4 linked regions of the Arabidopsis thaliana genome follow. The protein of the gene in region 1 purifies or fractionates together with the protein of each later gene. This does not show direct contact. Each region holds a gene or a part of one and is shown in the gene's direction. Other genes may lie near its edges. The genes, in order: NOP56, FIB1, FKBP53 and GYRA.

Region 1 (4,777 bases):
TAATACCTTTTAATACGTTTTGTTTTGAATAACACGTTCAACAGGGAAACCTCAATGATGGAAGAGAGGTGGCGGTGAAGCAGTTGTCAATTGGATCACGGCAAGGGAAGGGACAATTTGTTGCAGAAATTATTGCAATTTCTTCAGTTCTACATCGCAACCTAGTAAAACTTTACGGGTGCTGCTTTGAAGGAGATCATCGTTTGCTCGTATATGAGTATCTCCCTAATGGAAGTCTCGATCAGGCATTATTTGGTAATGAACAGAAACATGACTTACCTATCTCTGCTTCTGCCAAGCTAAAGTAATCATTATGCCATTGGGTTGGATGTTACAGGGGATAAGAGTTTGCATCTTGATTGGTCAACCCGTTATGAGATATGTCTGGGAGTAGCCAGAGGTCTAGTTTATCTCCACGAGGAAGCAAGTGTTCGCATAATACACAGAGATGTGAAGGCCAGCAACATTTTACTGGACTCTGAACTGGTCCCAAAAGTTTCTGATTTTGGGCTTGCAAAACTATATGATGACAAGAAAACCCATATTAGTACCAGAGTGGCAGGGACGATGTAAGCAAAATCCATAGACCCTGACATTTTGTTTGCAACACAATTATGGCTTTATAGCTCATGTTAGTTGTATCAATGCAGTGGGTATCTTGCGCCAGAGTATGCCATGCGTGGACATCTAACAGAGAAAACAGATGTGTATGCCTTTGGTGTTGTGGCTCTTGAGCTAGTGAGTGGAAGGAAAAACTCTGATGAGAACCTGGAAGAGGGAAAAAAATATCTTCTTGAATGGGTACGTCTATATTTGTCATATAGGCGAAGTTGAAGATGGTGTGATAAATGACAAAAGCCGATAATCCTTTTGTATTTCTTGTATACAGGCATGGAATCTACACGAGAAAAACCGTGACGTTGAACTAATAGATGATGAGCTAAGTGAATACAACATGGAAGAAGTGAAACGCATGATTGGCATTGCTCTGCTTTGCACTCAGTCATCTTATGCGTTGAGACCACCAATGTCACGAGTAGTAGCCATGTTGTCAGGAGATGCTGAGGTCAATGATGCCACCTCTAAGCCAGGCTACCTAACCGACTGTACATTTGATGACACCACAAGCTCCTCATTCAGCAACTTTCAAACGAAAGACACTAGCTTCTCGACGAGCTTTATAGCGCCTGGCCCGGAGATGCCACTTAGAGACGGCGAATCGAAGCCAATGGTTGGATTCAAGATCAAGGAGGGAAGATGAAGATTGTCCCCTCTATAATTTGATATGCTTGTATATGGAAGTTGACAATTTTCTTCTATATAAGGATGTGGAGAAACAGATTTCACTTTCATTCAATAATAATATTTTAGTTGACAATTTTTCAATTTTTGTAACAAACTTTTGATATCTTGCAAGGATGACCAAAAAAAAAAAAAAAAAAAAAAAAAAAGAAAGTTAACCTGTTGTGATGGGCCGGGCATTTTATAAGCTAGTACAACTAACACACCGTTAAATGGGCCTGGCCCATTGAATTTTTCAAGAGCAGCGCCATCAACAGATGCGCTTATTAAACCCCTGAAACCCTAGTTTCGTTCGTTGTATATTTCTTCTCGCTCAGTAGGTCTTTAGGGTTTTAGTTTCTTCTCCTCAAAAAATGGCGATGTATGTTATCTACGAGTCTTCTTCCGGCTATGGTCTCTTCGAGGTTCACGGACTAGATGAGATCGGACAGAACACTGAGGCGGTTCGGACTTCTGTCTCCGACCTCAGTCGCTTTGGCCGTGTTGTTCAGCTCACAGCGTTTCATCCCTTTGAGTCTGCTCTCGATGCTCTCAACCAAGTCAACGCCGTCTCTGAAGGTCAGACTCTTCATTACTCTCTTCTTATTCTTTGTTCTGTATATTCATGTGTTGTGTTGAGTAGCTTGTTCTTGTATTTAGAGCTAGAGTAGACACTTCGATTTAAAACCTTATAGTTCAAATTTCCTGGATATATTGTAGAAAGAGCTTTAATTTATGGTTGATTCTTGTTTTTGTGTTCTGTTTTTGTTTCATTGTTTTGGTTTTGTCATTGATGCTTTTGGAATTGGTTTTAATGTGATATTGGTAGGTGTTATGACTGATGAGCTTAGAAGTTTTCTGGAGTTGAATCTTCCTAAGGTCAAGGAGGGAAAGAAACCCAAGTTCAGTTTAGGATTGGCTGAGCCTAAACTCGGTTCACATATATTTGAAGCTACTAAAATCCCATGCCAGAGCAATGAGTTTGTTCTTGAGCTTCTCAGAGGTGTTCGCCAGCATTTTGATAGGTTTATCAAGGACTTAAAGGTGTGATCTCCTTTCTATGTGTTTAAAATCTTTTTGTCTGTTTGCTTATCTCATATGGTTTGTGTTCTCATAAAAAATTTCTGTTTATGTAGCCTGGTGATCTTGAAAAATCTCAGCTTGGATTAGCTCACAGCTACAGCAGAGCCAAGGTGAAGTTCAATGTTAACCGAGTGGATAACATGGTTATTCAAGCTATCTTCATGCTTGACACGCTTGATAAGGATATCAATTCCTTTGCCATGAGAGTCAGGTTTGTTTTGTGCTTTTCCCTTTCAGATTGTGTGTTTTCCTCGAGAAAATTGGTAGCTGAACTGTTTATAATGTTATTACAGGGAATGGTATTCGTGGCACTTCCCCGAACTAGTGAAGATAGTCAATGACAACTATCTTTACGCCCGTGTTTCAAAGATGATTGATGACAAGTCAAAGTTGACTGAAGATCACATCCCCATGCTTACTGAAGTCTTAGGGGATGAAGATAAGGCAAAGGAGGTCATCGAAGCTGGAAAAGCATCCATGGGTAAAAATTTTGAGCTGACTTTTTTGGTAGCTTTGAGTTAATGTGTGTTTCTGTTAACTTATGTCCTGAGACATTTACTCTCTTCCCTATTGGCAGGCTCGGATTTATCACCGCTTGACTTAATCAACGTACAGACCTTTGCTCAGAAAGTTATGGACCTTGCTGACTACAGGAAGAAGCTCTATGATTATCTTGTCACTAAGATGAGCGACATTGCCCCTAATTTGGCTGCTTTGATTGGAGAAATGGTCGGTGCCCGTTTGATTTCACATGCTGGAAGTCTGACTAACCTTGCTAAATGCCCATCTTCCACCCTCCAGATTCTTGGAGCCGAGAAGGCTCTTTTCAGGTGCAATATCTGGCACTATATTTTTAATGTTCACCAGTTTCCTTTTAGTGCTGCTTGTGACATGAACTGCTGTGGTATTTCAGGGCACTTAAAACACGTGGAAACACTCCCAAGTATGGATTGATTTTCCATTCTTCCTTCATTGGCCGAGCATCTGCTAAGAACAAGGGCCGTATCGCTCGTTATCTTGCAAACAAGTGCTCTATAGCATCCCGGATTGATTGTTTTGCTGGTAAAAATCTGAAACTCCTTGAAGAAGAGTTTTGGATTATGAATTCTGTTGTGAAAGTGTTAAATTATGTGCCCTGATGTCCTATGCAGATGGTGCAACTACTGCTTTTGGTGAGAAGCTTCGCGAACAAGTTGAGGAAAGGCTAGAATTTTATGACAAAGGTGTTGCCCCACGCAAGAACGTGGATGTAATGAAGGAGGTGATAGAGAATCTAAAGCAAGGTATTTCTTGTAGCTGTTTTTTTTTGGTTGTAATCAGAGTCCTCTTTATGATGGCAAACTCAGTGTTTTTTTATCTGTTCCTCCTTTAGAAGAGGAAGGGAAGGAGCCAGTTGATGCCTCGGTGAAGAAAAGCAAGAAGAAGAAGGCAAAGGGTGAAGAAGAAGAAGAGGTGGTGGCAATGGAGGAGGACAAGTCAGAGAAAAAGAAGAAGAAAGAGAAGAGGAAGATGGAGACTGCAGAGGAGAACGAGAAATCAGAGAAGAAGAAGACAAAGAAGAGTAAAGCTGGAGGAGAAGAGGAGACTGATGATGGTCACAGCACCAAGAAGAAGAAGAAGAAGTCTAAGAGCGCTGAATAGAAAGGGATGCAACATTAACAAACCCTGTATTGTATTTTTTTTTTGAGCTAAATTAATGTCGTCTGTTTTTCGTAGTGAACATCGGAGAATTTTTGTTTTGGTCTGGAAACGATTCAAGGTTTGGCAATATCTTAAGTTTGTTTAGGTTTTCACTATTTTGACGTTTGCAACCGTGAAGGAGGCTCCTCCATTTTATAAAATACAATTACCAATTCCAGTGCTTTGCAAATGTTTCAATAATAGCTAAACTAACTACCAAATTGGAAAACTAGCTTAACAAGTTTGTGAAAATGAATTTGGAGCCATATGATTTATTATTTTACCCAAATGGAGTAATAGAAGAAGAGCAGCTCGCGTTTGAATGGTCAGTTAACATTAACAAAAGGTAAAATTGAATAGATGTTAAAACTTGTGTAAGTAAACAATAGAGCTACCTCCTTTTGAGAAGGATAGATAAACTCGTGACCAACCACATTCCCAGTCCCATATTCTTAGTACAAATAAGAAATTCACACCCCTCAAAGAAATATAACATAATCAATCATAGGAAATATACTTCGCATAATGACGATAATGATCAAGTTTCTCCTGTTAGCTCTGCTCGTGATCTCTCCGATTTGCGCCGAGAAGGACCTGATGAAAGAGGAATGCCATAATGCACAAGTTCCGACCATTTGCATGCAATGTCTTGAATCCGACCCAACCTCCGTTCATGCAGACCGTGTTGGCATCGCCGAGATCATCATACACTGTCTCGACTCTCGTCTCGATA
Region 2 (4,971 bases), on another chromosome or scaffold:
TTCTTCATTTAAACACAAGCGTAGACGTTGTTGAAACTCTAGGCATAGACTTTAAGACCGTTTCTATCACCTCTCTCTCTTCAAGATGGAAGGTTGATATCTCTCTCTTCAAGATTGAAGATTGAAAATGTTCCCATATAGATGTGACTGTCACTTTCTTTAAACACTTTGCATTAGCAAAAATGTATCTTATGAGCTGTGTCTCTTCTTCGTTTCCTCTATATCCATGCCACACAAACTCCTCATCTAAATGAGCCGACAAGCATCTGGGAACAGTACCTTGGTTGGTACCATGACAATGGGAGATTTCCGGGTCGATATCCACTTACCTGGATGCAAGTACATAAAAATCTATGAGGTGGAATCAAAGAATCAGTTTATACAACAAGGAGATTGCGTTGTTACTTGTTACTTACAGAAGTGATAGCAAGAAATCTTAGTTTAGGAGAGTTGTTGAGAATTAGTGGAATTATATCCAACCAGAGATGGCCATGTGGACATATCACTAATTTTCCAAGTCGAGTGAAGGTAAAGCCACGAAAATCCAGAGCCTTCAATGACTAAATCAAAAGCCAATATAAATCAATGTGATCAAACCTAACAGCCAAGAAGAAAAAAAACAATAATAATAAAAAGGATAGATACCATTGGATCTTCCAAAGGTAACACAAGATACGTGACCAAGGAAATAGCTTTGAGAAACTTGTCATCAGTATGACATACAACGTCGATATGTGGCTTTTCAAGGCGAAGCTTATGCACCTTCGCGAAACGGTAGTCCCGGTTATCACTGATGGCGAGGCCCACTTTCGATCGGGCAAGAACTGAGCAACTTGATATAAGCCTCTCTAGAGAATTTTCATCTTTGAACACCACATAAAAAAGGCGTAATATGTTGAGTGACGGGAGGCAAACCGAAGAAGGAACATCCACTATAATCTTGTCCGAAAGAGTCAATTCCACAAGTGTTTTGCATGTGTAAAGACTCTTAGGCAAGCTGGTAGGCTCTGCCGTCCAGTGGAGCTCTAACTCTAGCTTGCGCACAAAGCGATCAACTGCATTTGCAACTAATTTCCCAACATCTACCTCAATAGAAAATTTTTACCGAGTTGGATGCACAAAGTTTCTAGAAAAGGTGCCTTGTGAAGTTCCAATAACTTTTCAAGAAACTTCCACACGCTTTCGCATTCATCACCAGGATCACTGTACTCGAGTTTAGGCAACAACGTCCAGACATAACGCCATCGTTTTGACAATATCATTGTCCCAACTGCATCTTTGATCGGTACAAGCAACAAAATCTGGATAAGCAAATCGTCGGGCAACGAACTGATCTCGTCTCTAGAAGCAACAACCTCTTCATCAATTCTTTGACAACGTTCGGCCATTAGTGATGTAATAGCTAGCTGAGTTTGTGATAAAGATTTCAAATATAGGTAAGCAGAGACGAGGAGGAGCAAGTCGAACCCTAAAAACTTTAGATGATCGAGAACCTTAGATATATTCGTAATTTCTCTATGAGAAATTGAGAATAAGTGAATAACTAACTCTTCTTGTCTCACAAAAATAAAACCCTAACTTATCTTTTCCGTGAGACATAAACAAACCCACTTTGGGCCAATAAAATCGGCCCATTATTATCTTGACCCAATCCGGATCAAACCCAACTCCATACTTTGGAGTTTGGACCCATCGTTACCAATGTAGTAGACTAATGTAGTTAAGATATATATAATAGAAGGGCCTATTTATAAAATACAAGAAATGTTACCAAAGCATAAACCCTAAAAGCCCTAAAATCTTAATATATAAACCAACTCACAGAGACTCTAAAATCAGCCACCACCGCACATCTCTCTCCTTTGCCCTCGTTTTTTTTCGGTTCTCGTCTTTCGTTCTTCACTTTTAGACAAGCAAATATGAGACCCCCAGTTACAGGTAAGAACCTTAGTTAAAGTTTATGTCTTTCTTGTTCTGTCTGCCTCTAGAGTATAACCCTGTCCGTATCAAATCTGAATTCGTATCATTACGGTTTCTGTAGTTTGAATTGGTAGTTAGGGTTTTAATTCATGAGCCTTTTGTATCTTCACTGTTTCAATAAAGTTCAAAGATAAAAGTAGAGATTTTTAATAACACTCTGTTCTTCCGTTTAGTTAATTTTCTGTATGTTGGTATTGTTATAATCAGGAGGACGTGGTGGTGGAGGATTCAGAGGTGGAAGAGATGGTGGTGGAAGAGGTTTTGGAGGTGGAAGAAGCTTTGGAGGAGGCCGTAGTGGTGACAGAGGCCGTAGTGGGCCTCGCGGCAGAGGACGTGGTGCGCCTCGTGGTCGTGGAGGACCACCTCGTGGAGGAATGAAAGGAGGAAGCAAAGTGATTGTTGAGCCTCACAGACATGCGGGAGTGTTTATTGCTAAGGGTAAAGAAGATGCTCTTGTCACTAAGAATTTGGTTCCTGGTGAAGCTGTTTACAATGAGAAGAGAATCTCTGTTCAGGTATGAAGTTTGAGGATTGTTTTCTTTATAATTAAATTGAGTTTGTTTTTGTTCTTATATTATAGCTACTTCACTTTTGCAGAATGAAGATGGAACTAAGGTTGAATACAGAGTTTGGAATCCGTTTAGATCTAAGTTAGCTGCTGCAATTCTTGGTGGTGTCGACAACATTTGGATCGTAAGTCCATCTATACACATACCACATTGACTCTGTTTTCTTTTTTTGTATTGAAAGACATGTGCTTGAATTGGTTCTTTGTTAAAACTTTTGTAGAAACCTGGTGCCAAAGTTCTTTACTTGGGTGCTGCTTCTGGGACCACTGTCTCTCATGTTTCTGACCTCGTTGGCCCTGTAAGTCTTTCACTAAATTATTATTTTAGTTATCCGTAGGTCCATTTCTATCCTATGTTTGAGACTTATCTTTGTTCTATTGCTTTATGATTTGTAGGAGGGATGTGTTTATGCTGTTGAGTTTTCTCATAGAAGTGGTAGAGATTTGGTGAACATGGCCAAGAAGAGAACTAACGTTATTCCAATCATTGAAGATGCTAGACATCCGGCTAAGTACAGAATGCTCGTGGGCATGGTTGATGTCATATTCTCTGATGTTGCTCAGCCAGATCAGGTTTGGTTCTATATTTCTTACTATGAAAGTTTGAAGTTACCCTTTCTACAGTTTTATTCACAAAGGTTACGTCATATTGCATTGCATCTTTTGCTTTTAAAATATCAGTTCATTGAAATCGGCATATGATGACATTTCATTTACTATGAAATGTTTGAAGCCTTTTTATTTTACAGTTATATCTTCAAAGTTTTTTTTTATTGCATTGCATCTTTTGCTTTTAAAAAAATCAGTACAATGAAATCGGCAGATGATGATTTTACTTGGATTCCCCTTCAGAACATTTATGGGTGTTGCAAACTCCAAGCTTCTGATGCTACTTTGTATCTTTTTACTAAAATTTTTTACTTTGAACATGCAAATCTGTTTTAATCTCAAAGTTTTTATTTGTCTTCATTTGGTATATCTTATCGATTTGGAAGAAGTCTTTTCGGTTTCTTCTGGTTTTCAACAATTGCATTTTCAAGTCATTTAGAAGTTTTACTTTATTACTAAACTTGGAGACTCAATTGTTGTAGCAATATTGCTGAGCTAGCAGAGATTGCTCCAAGAAATCTGCAATGATTCCATAAATGTTTCTATGTTTATGTTAATGTCTCTCTTTATTCTCATTTTGGTTCTCTGTTTATGTTTTATTTAATTGAATCCATCTATTTGCCTAACTCTTGAAGGCAAGAATCTTGGCCCTGAATGCCTCATTTTTCCTCAAAACTGGTGGACACTTTGTTATCTCAATCAAGGTCAGTGCTCTTATCCTTAATCAAATTCAACAATGTTCTCCTCTGTTATTATTCAATTTGTATTTCCGTCGCTAAATAAACATGTCTCATCTGTTCAGGCCAACTGTATCGACTCTACAGTTGCAGCAGAAGCAGTCTTCCAGAGCGAGGTGAAGAAGCTGCAACAAGAGCAGTTTAAGCCAGCAGAACAGGTGACTCTCGAGCCGTTTGAGCGTGACCATGCCTGTGTTGTTGGTGGTTACCGCATGCCGAAGAAACAAAAGACCCCAGCCTCATAGAGGAACTGTGGACAGTAGTGCCTGTGTATTAAGACTTATTTACTGGGTTTTGTTTTTATCTCCTTGCTTGTTGTATTAAGCTAGAGATGGATAATGCTTTTATGTCTCATTTGGAAAATTTTATCCTCGTTTTAGAACTAATATATATTGATGCAACATTTTCGTCCAATGATTGTATCTCCATCAGTCTTTTCTATGCTTGTTTTTGCTTGGCTATAAGAACTACTGTCCATTTTAATCCTACTTGTTTCTGCATGCTGAATTGATTGTTGAAGTAGTTTGTTTTGAACATGATTATGCTCAAGAAAAGGCGTAAAAGTATCACTTAGCTCTGAAAGGAACTCATTTTTTTTTGGTTAATAAAATTTTAAACACAAACAAACCGACTAAGTGTTATTGACATAAGTCTCAATACAGTTTCAAGTAATATTCGGCTTCTTCCACTATTGGATCAAAGTTATAGGCGCCTTCTTCCATCGGTAGCGCATTTTTAAGTATTGCCAATTGGCGTGACCAATGAAAATAGTAAGTTTCAAAAGAAAACGGGTAATCAGCAGAGGTAGAATCATTGTGGCGTCTCAAATCTTTAATTTTCTCAAAACAACGCTTCTCTAGATTCCCGACAAGGTTGATACATTGGCGTAAATCGAGGTGTTCCAGGTGAGGACAACCGTCAAGAATGGCGTTTAAGCCTGTTTTGGTTAGTTTGTTCCCACAAAGCTGGAGATGGCGTAGTTTAGGCATGCTTTCTGCAATTGCTATGGCATCATGATCATCATCATCCGAACTTAAGTAAAAGAGGCGGTTTAGCATCAATGTCTTCAGATTTGGA
Region 3 (5,508 bases), on another chromosome or scaffold:
GGGAGATCAACTAACAAGCCAGGTTCGAGAAAATCTATACTCGATAAGATAGCTTCATACTTATTTTGATCGATGATTTCTGATTTAAACAATCAATGCTAGGTTCAAGCACTGAGGAGTCTAGAGTTCTACATATGCTACTATGGTTTTGGAGATTTCAGATATAGACGACGAAACACCTGCACATCAAATATTGGATTCAGAACATTCTACTTCATCGTCGCCGTTATACCTTACTGGTTACGGTTTCTTCAGTGCATCCGAAGAATGGTGGAAGACAGAGATCTGAGTCATGGCTACAATGGCATCAAATACCTTTTGACCATCGTTGCTGCTTCTCTTAGAACAGCTTATACTCTAAACCGAGGAAGCAACTGGAATATCACAGCTTGGGTTTTCTCAGGAGTTGCAACGTTTTACGGAACTTACTGGGACATTGTTCTTGACTGGGGATTGCTTCAAAGAGGATGTAAGAATAGTTTCTTGAGAGACAAGCTTCTTGTTCCTCACAAAACCGTGTACTACGCTGCAATGGTGAGAGCAAACAGAAAACAGCAATAACCTCTGTTTTTGTTTTTTCTTTATACATATATGGTGAAGATTGTTGCTTCATGTACTTGGCAGGTCCTGAATGTTTTGTTGAGGTTAGTGTGGTTGCAAACAGTTTTGGATCTGAAATTCTCTTTCTTGCATAGAGAAACTATGGTCGCGCTTATGGCTTGCCTTGAGATCATACGCAGAGGTATCTGGAACTTCTTTAGGTAAGCTCCGAGACTGAGAAGATGGTGTTTTCATGCATGAATCTACACAAAACTAATGAAATGTAATTGTTGATTAGGCTGGAGAATGAGCATTTGAACAACGTTGGGAGATACAGGGCGTTCAAAACTGTCCCGTTACCGTTCAACTACGAAGAAGATGGAGATCATCATAACAATTAGCTTAACAAGAAAATACTTGGTTTCACAAAATTACCTAAACAACAACTAAACTTTTCACCGCTGTTCCGGTATACAACTGTAACGATCGAGCTTTGCCTCTCCGCTGTATTCTTCAGAGAGCCAACTCGAGGCTGGCTCACTCTCAGGGTCAGACCTAAGCGATGGTAGAATTATGGAGAAATCAAGTGGAAATCTCTTCGTTCCTTGGTAACAAGAGATACAAACACTTAACTAACTTGGTTACATACAACAAAAAGACATTACTTTGTACACTTACTTCAGATTTTGACAAGAAAGATAGAAACTCACGTCATTGTACAGTGTGTTTAGGTCTCAATATTGTATTGTTTTGTTGAAAGATAGGTCTCATATTGTTTTATTTAAAACAAAATTTCTGAATTTGCGTTTACATGAGAGAAAATTATAGATTTTTTTTTCAAATTAACTCTAGTAAAATAATGAACACAAATTAAATGTTATCAAATATGAAGAGTATCTTGACAATACCATTTACTTTACGATTTATGACAGACCAATATATGGGCTTCATTGGGGCTTCATTGGGGCTTCATTGAATTTCAAAGTCTGTTAAGGCCCAAACTGAGAGCGCGGTTGCACAAATTGTCGAAATTTCTCGAAACCGCTTTAATCTCGATATAAAGCTCGTCTGCTAAAAACCTTCGATTAGGGTTTTAGTCTGTAGAAACAAAGTTGCCGCTTCGATTCCAAGGAGTAACCTAGCTGAGAAAATGGGATTCTGGGGTTAGTTTTCTCTGCTCAGTGTTTTCTTTGATTTTCCCGGAGCATGATTCCTAGGTTCTGATTTTGTGTTGTTAACATATGCAGGACTTGAAGTGAAACCTGGGAAGCCTCAAGCTTATAATCCAAAAAATGAACAAGGAAAGATTCACGTGACCCAGGTACTATACTCTTGTTCCTTCGAGCTGATTTGGGATATGAATTGTATATTTGTGTAGTCTAGTTTTGGAATCTGAATATGTTTGATATATCTATTGATGTATGTATGTTTTGCCATCATTCAGGCAACTCTAGGTACGGGTTTGAGCAAAGAAAAGAGTGTGATTCAGTGTTCAATAGGAGACAAGGCTCCTATTGCTTTGTGTTCATTGTTGCCAAACAAAATCGAATGTTGCCCTCTGAATCTTGAGTTTGACGATGATGATGAGCCAGTGGAATTCACCGTGACTGGTGACAGAAGTATCCACTTGTCTGGATTCTTGGAGTATTATCAGGACGATGAAGATGATTATGAGCATGATGAAGATGATTCGTATCCTTTCATTGTTACTAGTTTACTTTAGCAAATAATGCTTTCTTGTTTTTCTATTATTCCATCTGTTTAGAAATCTTAATGTTTTCATTGCGACTATATTATAGAGATGGTATTGATGTTGGTGAGTCTGAGGAAGACGATTCGTGTGAATATGATAGTGAAGAGGATGAGCAATTGGATGAATTTGAAGACTTCCTTGATAGCAATCTTGAAAGGTATCGGAATGCTGCTGCCCCAAAGAGTGGAGGTACTTTTTCTTACAGAGATCCTTATCAGATTGCATCTTAGTACTTCCATTTTAGCTTAGTGTGATTGCTTGATTCGTCACTCTTGTCTTATAACTAGAAGGTTTCAAAAAGATATTGATAAAAGACTTTTCAAATGTATGTCCGTAAATTTAAGCTTTTGTACAAGTGTGTCTCCTTGGTGCTGATCCTGTTCTACATTTGTGTTAATAGTTTATATGATTGATCTTTCCTTGTTCTGTTAAAACTAATCTGAATGATATCTTTGCTAGTTATAATTGAGGAGATAGAAGATGAAGAGAAACCTGCCAAAGATAATAAGGCAAAACAAACCAAGAAGAAGAGTCAAGCTAGCGAAGGTGAGAATGCAAAGAAACAAATCGTTGCCATAGAGGGTGCCCATGTTCCAGTTTTGGAAAGCGAAGATGAAGACGAAGACGGTTTACCTATTCCTAAAGGAAAATCATCTGAAGTAGAGAATGCGTCAGGTGAGAAGATGGTTGTAGATAATGACGAACAAGGTAGTAACAAGAAACGGAAGGCCAAGGCTGCTGAGCAAGATGATGGACAAGAAAGGTACTACTCTCTTTGCTCTCTATTGACTCTGAGGACAGAGTTCACATATTTTATATATCGTGGGGATACGAAGTTGTTTCTAAAATCTGTTCCAGTGCAAACAAGAGTAAAAAGAAGAAAAATCAGAAAGAGAAGAAGAAAGGGGAAAATGTCTTAAATGAGGAAGCTGGACAAGTTCAGACGGGAAATGTTCTGAAGAAGCAGGATATTAGCCAAATTTCTTCAAACACAAAAGCTCAAGATGGAACTGCAAACAATGCCATGTGAGAACTCTTATTTCTTGATTTGAGAACTTTTTTGGTGATAACAGATTGTGTTTATGTCATTTGTGAAATATCAGTAAGTAAGTATTTGAATTATTACTCACATAGATCACAAAGTAAAAAACGCTTATGAGTATACAGCGGTTCTTTCAAACTTTTTCTCCTAACAAAAGTCTGTGCTTTTTTATGGTATTATTGCAGGAGTGAAAGCTCCAAGACCCCAGATAAATCTGCTGAGAAGAAAACTAAAAATAAGAAAAAGAAGAAACCAAGTGACGAAGCTGCAGAAATTTCTGGTACTGTTGAGAAGCAAACCCCAGCGGACTCCAAGTCTTCTCAAGTACGGACATACCCAAATGGGCTCATTGTTGAAGAGTTGAGCATGGGAAAACCCAACGGCAAGAGAGCTGATCCTGGAAAAACGGTATGCACACTTAAAGTCATAAATTGCACACATAATATCATATGGTTACTGCAATCTCATATAGATTATGCAACAAGGTGGTAGTGTGATAAGAATGTGGGTGTTGAAAGAATTGACACTAGATAGAAAGTGAGCAAAGTAATACCTTGTTAGACTTAGACCTAAGAGCACCAAAGAATATACATTAAATAGGAAGTGAACAAACTAATGGCTTGTAAAACCTACAAACACTCAAACCCTTAAGTTGTGGTTAACTCTGGCTAATTGTCTTTGTGAACTTGGTTTGAATCCAAAATCCTATTAGAGTGCATCAATGTATTTGTGTGTTTTCCCAAATCTTTTTGGAGCTCATTCTATTGTCTCTGAGTGCAGGTTTCTGTGCGCTATATTGGAAAACTTCAGAAGAATGGGAAGATTTTCGATTCCAACATTGGAAAATCACCATTTAAGTTTCGTCTAGGTTGGTATTATAACTAGATTCAAAGATAATAGCTTGGGAAATTGGTTGAGAATTACAGTGTATTGCTGGTGTAAGTGATACTTTATGTTCTTATTGTAACGTGTAGGTATTGGATCAGTCATTAAGGGATGGGATGTTGGAGTTAATGGTATATATCTTAATTTCTTACTGTTTTTTTACTTATAACTTTGTTCAAAAAGTGAATCGTGTTGTATTCATCTCAAGTTTTTGAATTCCACAGGCATGCGCGTTGGTGACAAAAGGAAGCTTACAATTCCTCCATCAATGGGGTAAGTAAACTCATTTTGATTTATGTTATTTTGAATTAGCAATGTTTTGTTAAACCTTTTTAATGGGATGATAATATTGTTTGGCTCCCAGGTATGGTGTGAAGGGTGCTGGTGGCCAGATTCCTCCTAATTCTTGGCTGACTTTTGATGTCGAACTGATTAATGTTCAATAAAACTGCCCTGAATTCATAGAATCTCTGATGAGGGGTTTCTGAATGGTGTTGTAGCTGCAAAAGATTGTTTCTTTCCTTTTTAACACTTGAATCTTTTTGAAAAATGGATTTGTGTTTCAAGTGATAAGACCATAGCATTTGTTTCCCAGATTTCCTCTTCCAGATAGCTTTTGTTGGCCTATTTTACACTTGCTTAAAAACCAAAAATTGGAATCATACAAATGCTGTTTACATAGTAGATGGACTTGAACCCAAAAAGGGGCCAATCAACTTTAAGCCAGATTTTATAGCAACGACAACCCCGACTCGTGAATCCGTTCAATTGAATAATGTAAATAATACCCCTTTTTTTTGGTGTAAATAAAGTGATTATAGTTTCTTCTTCATTAGTTAGTATTCAATGATTCATTTGTGGAAAGTCTCTCTCACTAGTCTCTAATCAAGGTCTCTCTACTCTCAGGTACAGTTACGTCACCATCATCACCGTGACGAATTTGTCATTTTTGTACCGTCAGAAAGACTTTGACCTATTTCTTGTTCTGCAAGTTCTTTTTTACTGTTATTTCTGACCTTTTGACCCGTTTTTATTTTTTTATTTTTGTAACATTGATGATCCACCATACGTCACCATTATTCTCCGTCGCAATGGCAATCTCTACGGCGGGCCTCTGGTTTCTGATATCTTAATGTTTTTAGAATTGGAATTTCTCATTTTTGATGTTCGGCTCCTAAGTATTTGATGGACTATGATTGTGAACTTTAGAGTTTGCAAATGTAATTATCAATTATGCCTCTGTTTACAAAACCTTATGTGATGTTCATCAACACAATTAAATCAAGCA
Region 4 (7,541 bases), on another chromosome or scaffold:
AAAGTTCTTTTGACGTATGTGCAAATCTGTTTGATTCATATTTATCTACATTTTCGCTTATTTAGATTTAAATTTCAGTGGAAATGCTGCAAAGTTTATTTCTCTATTGCTTGTGATACTCATTTTTCTGCATCACAAGATTCACACCCTTCTCTTGATTTACTTTTTCTTTTCAGTGCATCTGGGAACAGTGAGCTGGAACCTACGTTGTGCAATGGTAAAAAAACTTTAAGTGTGGACTTTAACTTATTCGTTGCATGCTGATTAGTTTTTCTTTGTTGCCATGTCTCTAACTGTCCCACTGAATAGTTGAGCATGCGGTCTATGAAGCTCACAAGGTAAGAAAATAAGATTCTTAAGCTTTTGGTAAAACAGGTTCCACCTATATCAGGCCTATGTAAATATGTAATACAATAATACTTGTTCGTGCAGCATGAGCTGAAACCGGTTTTAGCTAAAAGAGCAGAGCATTATTTCTCGGAGAACATGCGAGTTATCAAAGGCAAATGTTCTTGAATTCTTGTAGATGTCTCTTTATGTGCATGAATGATTCATTAAGCTCTTTATGATGCTTAACGGACTTTTATGAATGTTTGTTCTTAAATTTCAGGACGGGAAGCCTGGGCTTCAGGGAATCTTGAAGAATTTGGAAAGCTAATTTCAGCATCCGGCTTGAGTTCCATTGAGAATTACGAATGCGGTACATTACACTCTCTTTTCTTCTCTCCCAAATGCAACATATCCTATAGTGAATACAGACCACTAGTATGCTTACAGACATTATTCTCTCTTAGATTCATTATTTTGGTTTTAAATTCTGTGAGTTTTGTGAAGGTGCGGAGCCACTGATCCAGCTATACAAGATTCTTCTGAAGGCTCCTGGTGTATATGGAGCTAGATTCAGCGGTGCAGGTTTCAGGGGATGTTGTCTAGCCTTTGTAGATGCAGAAAAAGCTGAGGCAGCTGCTTCATATGTGAAGGATGAATATGAAAAGGCCCAACCCGAGTTTGCTAACAATCTAAATGGAGGAAAACCTGTTCTCATCTGTGAAGCAGGTGACGCTGCTCGTGTTCTTCTCTGATCAATCCTGGAGTTTTTGGTTTCTTCCCCACTTAAACTCGATTTTTTTGTCCCTTATATCTCTCACGCTTATTGATTCTTTGCTTGTTTATCTCTTTTTGATCCTGTCTGAGAAATTCTCTGGTCTCTTTGGTCGGAGTTTCATCATTGCTTGATACATTTTTTTTGCTACAAATACATAATGTAAATCATTCTCTACCGTTTTCGAGTCGATAGAAGAATCGCAAACTTCAAAAATGTGACTAACATTTCTCCATAAATTTGTTAAATTTTCAACAATTGGTGAATTTAGTTCTGTAATTGATCTAACAAAGACACTATACAAGTATGAAATTAGAAATTGAAATCGAAAGTTAGTTATTATAATCTTGTTTGTATAAAATAGTGTATATCTCAAATAGAGATACAGATTAGTTTTTTGTTTGGACACAAAGACCCCCGCCAAAGTATTGAAATTCGCGCCTGAGAAATTCTCCGGTGTGGCTCTCTAGGGTTTTAGCACTTTAATCCATTTGTACTTGTAAAAATCCCTAAAACCCTCTGGGCATGACTCCAGTATTATGCCATTCCACTGCTTCAATCCCTAACCCTAACTCTCTCATGTCTCTCTCCTCCACTCTCCGTCTCTCTTCCTCCCTTCTTCGCCGCTCCTTCTTCCGATTCCCCCTCACCGACCCATTATGCCGTCTCCGCCGCACTGAACCCTCCGCCACGCGTTTCTTCTCCTCCCGTACTCCTCGGTCCGGCAAATTCGTTGTCGGTGCTGGTAAGCGCGGAGATGAGCAGGTCAAGGAAGAGTCCGGAGCTAACAATGGCGGTTTGGTTGTTTCTGGGGACGAATCTCGTATTGTGCCTTTTGAGCTACATAAGGAAGCTACTGAGTCGTATATGTCGTATGCGCTCTCTGTTTTGCTTGGACGTGCTTTGCCTGATGTTAGAGACGGACTAAAACCAGTACATCGGAGAATTCTGTTGAGTGACTTTCGTTCGGCTCAAAGCTACTGATATTTTTAAGCTTAGTCAGTGGTATTGTTCCTTCTAATGTTCGATTATTTTGTCTTCCAGCTTTGCAATGCATGAGTTGGGGATGTCATCTAAAAAACCATACAAGAAATGTGCAAGAGTTGTTGGAGAGGTATATTATTGATTTTTGGAAAGTGTTTTCTCAGTCGATTTCTCTAAATATCTTATTCTGAAGAACGATTTGTGCTGTTGAATTCTTTGGGTTTTCAGGTTCTTGGTAAATTCCATCCGCATGGAGATACTGCTGTTTATGATTCTCTTGTTAGGATGGCTCAGGTAAATATCTGAATTCATGGAATGTAGTCCAGTCCTCAAATAATGTTTCAGGCACGATTCGATTCTTCCCAAACTTCTGACTTTTTTGTTTTAATACCTTTGTTTTTTTGGCAGAGTTTCTCCTTGAGATGTCCACTTATCCAAGGCCATGGAAATTTTGGCTCAATAGATGCAGATCCTCCTGCTGCTATGCGTTACACTGAATGCAGACTCGATGTGAGTGCCTTTTACCTTACTTTCCCTTCTAGTTGAAATGGTTTTCCCTGCAATTCACTTTTTCTAGTTGTTTCACTTGTCTTTGCTATCTATAGTGTATCTCTCATCTCTACTTTTTCTCTTGTCTTGAGATGAACATGTATTTTTGTCAGTGTTTTCAGCTGATTGTACTTATTTTTTTTCTGCAGCCACTGGCAGAGGCAGTACTATTGTCTGATCTGGATCAAGATACGGTAACCTCACTATTAATTTGTTGCCAAGTTTACCGATACTCAACTAGATGGTCCTTAACCTCTTTTGTTTTGGCAGGTGGATTTTGTGGCCAATTTTGATAACTCACAAAAAGAACCAGCAGTGTTGCCTGCTCGTCTTCCTGCTTTGTTGTTGAATGGAGCTTCTGGGATTGCGGTAAAATAATCAAACAAATCTTAAATCTGAACTCCTTAATAGATTTTGTTCGAGATTTCTTCAGTTAATCTTGTGCAGATTTTCCCTGCTGTATGAGATTGAATATGCAGTTGAATCTTGATCATTTCACATTGTTTAGGTTGGCATGGCAACAAATATTCCCCCTCATAATCTTGGGGAGTTGGTAGACGTGCTTTGCGCTTTAATCCATAATCCAGAAGCAACGGTATCACTCATCTCCCCTTTGTTTTTCTGTGATTTATCAATTTGTGGGTCTTTTGTTTTACATGAAAAATCCTCTGTTTTATAAGTAGACAACTCATAAGATTTTGTTTCCACTTTCTTCTTCGTCTGGGCAGCTGCAAGAACTGCTGGAATACATGCCTGCACCGGATTTTCCAACTGGAGGAATAATAATGGGAAACCTTGGGTAACTCTTTGCTTTCCAATTTCTCCCCAAAGGGATCTTATACATTAATGACTTTTGTTTGCCCACCTCGTTTGCTAATTTTTTGAGAGTAGGCTATCTATAGGATCAAATAGAAAGACTCACTTCTAAAGTGTGAAACTTTTTTTTTATGGAAATAGAAAAGCATTTTGTTTTGTTTTGATCTATGATTCTAACAGATTACAGAAGCTGTACCTATATCTTAAAAGGAACCTAGAAAATGAGTGAAGAGGATGGTCCAGTTAATAGTTTTCCTTTATTTGTCTGTCATATGCAGTTTTTGAATCATCATGTTTTTTTCTGATGGTGTGAGTGATTTTTTAATATTCTGAAAGCTTATATGTTGTGTAGTACATTTACTCTCGAGTTTGTTGAATACCTTTATTAAAAAAATAGTTTGCATTCATATGCCATTTCCTTTTACAATGTTGGATTCTTATAATTTTCTAATGTGTGTTTGCGCTTTCAAGGGTTTTGGATGCTTACCGAACTGGCCGAGGGCGAGTTGTAGTTAGAGGAAAAGCTGAAGTTGAATTGTTGGATCCAAAGACAAAGCGGAATGCAGTTATTATCACAGAGGTGATCAATTTAGTTTTTTAGATTAATGTTCAGATCTCCATGGATGAGGGTTTCAAAAATGTTTATTAGCAGTAGAGTAATGCCTTTAGTGTGACTTTATTGCAGATTCCTTACCAGACAAACAAAGCTACACTTGTCCAGAAGATTGCCGAACTTGTTGAAAATAAGGTACAACTAAACTTGCGACATCTAATGTTTATTTTGCTTCACTTAGCAATATGTACTTATTTTACTCAGAGGTGTGTTACATTTCTAGTATGTCCTTATATGCTTGCAAAGTTTCTTCTTTATTCATTGATGTTGGTGTTTGTTTTCAGACGCTAGAGGGCATAAGTGACATACGTGACGAGAGTGATCGTAATGGGATGCGTGTGGTTATTGAGGTATTACACTGTTTCCTCTGCACTTAGATGTATTAGTCTGCTTTAAAATTTCATATTGGAAGGTAATTAAGATAATTTCCAATACTTCTCTATAGCTCAAAAGAGGAGGGGATCCTGCACTTGTGCTTAATAATCTTTACCGGCATACTGCCCTTCAATCAAGCTTCAGCTGCAACATGGTGGGGTGAGTTGCATCAACCGATAACTTCTTATTTCCTGTACTTTTTTGAAGAGTGGGCATATAAAAGAACTTGGGCATTTTCCAGGATGACTAGTTGAAAATTCTCTAATGAGTATGTTATGCTTGTAAATATATTAAGGATCATGTATTCACATATGCGTTTTTCTTTATCGTAACTGGATTATGGTATTCTGTGTTTTACAGTATCTGCGATGGAGAACCCAAGCTAATGGGATTAAAAGAACTACTTCAGGTGACCACTTGTCTATGTAAATCATTTATCTACGTAGCCCACAAGGAGTAATAGAAAAGTGAAGATCAGAGATAGGATATTTACTTCTGTGCTACTGTAATCACATTTTAAAGTAAATTTGTTGATTACTTTCTGTTTCTTGCTTGTGTGTAGGCATTTATAGATTTCAGGTGTTCTGTCGTCGAAAGGCGTGCAAGATTCAAGCTTTCACATGCACAACAACGAAAGCATATTATTGAGGTGCGACTAGAAATATTTAACTTTCTTAAATCTGCTCGTGAAGACCATGATGTAATGATGTAAAGCATTTTTTCTAATATCTTCACTGTATATATGCTTAGGGTATTGTGGTTGGGCTTGACAATGTGGACGAAGTAATCGAACTCATCACGAAGGCCTCAAGTCATTCCTCTGCTACTGCTGCTTTACAAAGTGGTGAGCTATATTTTACTTTGACAATATAATCAATGTAACAATCTTGAACTGCACATTATAGGTTGATGTATAAACAGAATTCGGAAAAGTGAGCGAGAATTAGGAGTCAAAAAGTAGACTAGAGCCAATTTTTCTTAGGTGGACTGATAGATGTAGTCTAGGATGTACACTATTAAAAGAATACATCTTGTGGTGAACTCTTCCATATTACATTTGAACATTATATATTTCTTGTCTTTTTATCTGGAACTGCTGGAGTCTCATTCGTTGTAAGATTTGATCTTAATTGCAAAGATTTCTTAGGGATTTATGCTTTGTAAGTCTCTATTGTAAGGGACGATACCATATATTAAAATTAACACTTGTCAAACATTTACTTATGTAGAATATGGTCTTTCTGAGAAACAAGCTGAGGCTATACTGGAGATAACTCTTCGAAGGCTAACTGCTCTTGAGGTGCTTTCTTATTCTCGCTAAGTTCAATTTATGAAACTTGTAGGCTTGACAATGTTCTAACTAGATTCTCCCTTCATAAATGCAGCGGAAAAAGTTTACTGATGAAAGTAGTTCACTAACAGAGCAAATTACAAAGTTGGAGCAGCTATTATCAACCCGAACAAACATCCTAAAGGTGACACACTCACTTTTTAGTTATCTGTTCTTTTGGCTATTGATATTAGAAATTTAGAACACCTAGATGCTAGTAGAATGATAGATGCATCAATATATGTACTCCAAATTTGTAAGCTTGACTGTTTGAGTCCACTGAGGTTCAAAATCTAGTCCATGCATTATGATGTGGTATAAGGATTCAAATGCTTCTTCCATTTCTTGTTTGGTACTTATTTTTATATCTGTAAAGCTGCTTACTATATGTTGCTGTTCTGGGCCAATGTTAGGAAGATAACTGATACATGATGATTTTCTTGTAGACCAAAATTGAACTATTTGCTTCGTTTACTTCATTGTATATTACTTACTACTTTATTCTCTTCGTTGTTTTTCTTGTATTTTTCTTTAGTTAATCGAACAAGAAGCAATAGAGCTGAAGGACAGATTCTCAAGTCCCAGGCGTTCAATGTTGGAGGATTCTGACAGTGGTGATCTAGAAGATATAGATGTTATTCCAAATGAAGAGATGCTGATGGTATGTTGCATACTTAAACCTAGAAAGTTTCTCAACGTTGAAATTTTTGTTGTTTGTTTTGTAACTTTTGATATGGATGACTATAGGCAGTCAGCGAAAAGGGCTATGTGAAGAGAATGAAGGCCGATACATTCAATCTTCAGCATCGTGGAACAATTGGCAAATCTGTTGGGAAACTAAGAGTTGATGATGCAATGTCTGACTTTCTTGTTTGTCATGCACATGACCATGTCCTCTTTTTCAGGTATGTATACCTCAAAATTTCCTTTGTGTTTGCTACGCACATGGATATTAATTTTCTGCCTTGTTGTAATTCATTGCTTATACTTGTTGTACATTCAGTGACCGGGGTATAGTTTACTCAACCCGTGCATATAAAATTCCAGAATGCTCTCGCAATGCAGCTGGTACACCTTTGGTTCAGGTAATTACATATCTGTGTATCTATGTTTTCCTTCTGCTATGTCAAAAATTATTCAATTTTATGAAAGGCTAATGTTTTGCTGTGTTCATGTGACTTGTGGAAGCAGATATTATCCATGTCGGAAGGTGAAAGAGTAACCTCCATTGTTCCTGTTAGCGAGTTTGCTGAAGATCGCTACCTCCTGATGCTTACAGTGAATGGCTGCATCAAGAAAGTATCTTTGAAATTATTTTCAGGAATACGCTCAACTGGAATCATAGCAATTCAGTTGGTTTGTCCCCTTTTTCTTCTTAGTCATATAGGAAGTCTTCTTAACAAGGTTACTCTAACAAAATTATTTGTCTTCAGAATTCTGGTGATGAACTGAAATGGGTTCGTTGTTGCTCAAGCGACGATCTTGTAGCCATGGCATCCCAAAATGGAATGGTCGCCTTGAGTACATGTGATGGTGTAAGTTGTGGCTCTCATTTTTTCTAAATGATTCATCTTTCATGTAAACCTTTTAATACTTGAGCAAACTCTGATGGCTTTTGTTTGTTTAGGTTCGCACACTGAGCAGAAATACAAAGGGAGTGACTGCCATGAGACTCAAGAATGAGGATAAGATAGCGAGCATGGACATCATACCTGCATCTCTGCGGAAAGATATGGAAGAGAAGTCGGAAGATGCTTCACTTGTGTATGTTT

What was found.
Region 2: the proteins of NOP56 (region 1) and FIB1 fractionate together in Arabidopsis thaliana (co-fractionation; one large-scale study listed by BioGRID). This does not show direct contact.
Region 3: the proteins of NOP56 (region 1) and FKBP53 fractionate together in Arabidopsis thaliana (co-fractionation; one large-scale study listed by BioGRID). This does not show direct contact.
Region 4: the proteins of NOP56 (region 1) and GYRA fractionate together in Arabidopsis thaliana (co-fractionation; one large-scale study listed by BioGRID). This does not show direct contact.

Annotation. Positions count from the first base shown.
Region 1 is NC_003070.9:20,983,772-20,988,548, reverse strand, and holds NOP56 (NOP56-like pre RNA processing ribonucleoprotein), read left to right. Parts: upstream 1-1,596; 5' UTR 1,597-1,655; coding exon 1,656-1,860; intron 1,861-2,110; coding exon 2,111-2,325; intron 2,326-2,417; coding exon 2,418-2,575; intron 2,576-2,657; coding exon 2,658-2,845; intron 2,846-2,941; coding exon 2,942-3,194; intron 3,195-3,277; coding exon 3,278-3,426; intron 3,427-3,515; coding exon 3,516-3,647; intron 3,648-3,736; coding exon 3,737-4,005; 3' UTR 4,006-4,146; coding exon of another isoform or gene 4,147-4,190; 3' UTR 4,191-4,214; coding exon of another isoform or gene 4,215-4,248; 3' UTR 4,249-4,276; downstream 4,277-4,777. Other genes in the region: AT1G56120 (Leucine-rich repeat transmembrane protein kinase), read left to right, coding at 45-255, 338-569, 651-801, 890-1,261; AT1G56105 (uncharacterized protein), read right to left, coding at 4,147-4,190, 4,215-4,248, 4,440-4,495, 4,562-4,638, 4,667-4,777; AT1G56100 (Plant invertase/pectin methylesterase inhibitor superfamily protein), read left to right, coding at 4,570-4,777.
Region 2 is NC_003076.8:21,292,371-21,297,341, forward strand, and holds FIB1 (fibrillarin 1), read left to right. Parts: upstream 1-1,776; 5' UTR 1,777-1,919; coding exon 1,920-1,938; intron 1,939-2,187; coding exon 2,188-2,495; intron 2,496-2,577; coding exon 2,578-2,673; intron 2,674-2,769; coding exon 2,770-2,847; intron 2,848-2,944; coding exon 2,945-3,121; intron 3,122-3,365; exon of another isoform or gene 3,366-3,439; intron 3,440-3,792; coding exon 3,793-3,861; intron 3,862-3,959; coding exon 3,960-4,139; 3' UTR 4,140-4,449; downstream 4,450-4,971. Other genes in the region: EDA41 (FBD, F-box and Leucine Rich Repeat domains containing protein), read right to left, coding at 5-324, 413-551, 646-1,086, 1,179-1,388; AT5G52480 (RNI-like superfamily protein), read right to left, coding at 4,548-4,971. UniProt on the Arabidopsis thaliana protein: S-adenosyl-L-methionine-dependent methyltransferase that has the ability to methylate both RNAs and proteins. Involved in pre-rRNA processing.
Region 3 is NC_003075.7:12,958,815-12,964,322, reverse strand, and holds FKBP53 (FK506 BINDING PROTEIN 53), read left to right. Parts: upstream 1-1,551; 5' UTR 1,552-1,690; coding exon 1,691-1,703; intron 1,704-1,787; coding exon 1,788-1,861; intron 1,862-1,984; coding exon 1,985-2,232; intron 2,233-2,339; coding exon 2,340-2,482; intron 2,483-2,752; coding exon 2,753-3,056; intron 3,057-3,151; coding exon 3,152-3,319; intron 3,320-3,520; coding exon 3,521-3,743; intron 3,744-4,115; coding exon 4,116-4,203; intron 4,204-4,309; coding exon 4,310-4,351; intron 4,352-4,428; coding exon of another isoform or gene 4,429-4,444; coding exon 4,445-4,493; intron 4,494-4,584; coding exon 4,585-4,666; 3' UTR 4,667-4,974; downstream 4,975-5,508. Other genes in the region: SHB1 (EXS (ERD1/XPR1/SYG1) family protein), read left to right, coding at 1-22, 103-534, 625-761, 839-941. UniProt on the Arabidopsis thaliana protein: PPIases accelerate the folding of proteins. It catalyzes the cis-trans isomerization of proline imidic peptide bonds in oligopeptides. Histone chaperone possibly involved in H3/H4 deposition to the nucleosome.
Region 4 is NC_003074.8:3,340,330-3,347,870, reverse strand, and holds the start of GYRA (DNA GYRASE A), read left to right. Parts: upstream 1-1,510; 5' UTR 1,511-1,627; coding exon 1,628-2,052; intron 2,053-2,146; coding exon 2,147-2,216; intron 2,217-2,314; coding exon 2,315-2,380; intron 2,381-2,494; coding exon 2,495-2,596; intron 2,597-2,784; coding exon 2,785-2,829; intron 2,830-2,905; coding exon 2,906-3,004; intron 3,005-3,143; coding exon 3,144-3,230; intron 3,231-3,363; coding exon 3,364-3,434; intron 3,435-3,922; coding exon 3,923-4,031; intron 4,032-4,136; coding exon 4,137-4,199; intron 4,200-4,348; coding exon 4,349-4,414; intron 4,415-4,509; coding exon 4,510-4,598; intron 4,599-4,799; coding exon 4,800-4,848; intron 4,849-5,001; coding exon 5,002-5,088; intron 5,089-5,189; coding exon 5,190-5,283; intron 5,284-5,668; coding exon 5,669-5,739; intron 5,740-5,824; coding exon 5,825-5,914; intron 5,915-6,304; coding exon 6,305-6,430; intron 6,431-6,516; coding exon 6,517-6,674; intron 6,675-6,772; and 8 more. Other genes in the region: GalAK (galacturonic acid kinase), read left to right, coding at 1-14, 177-217, 310-338, 433-502, 611-700, 835-1,082. UniProt on the Arabidopsis thaliana protein: A type II topoisomerase that negatively supercoils closed circular double-stranded DNA in an ATP-dependent manner.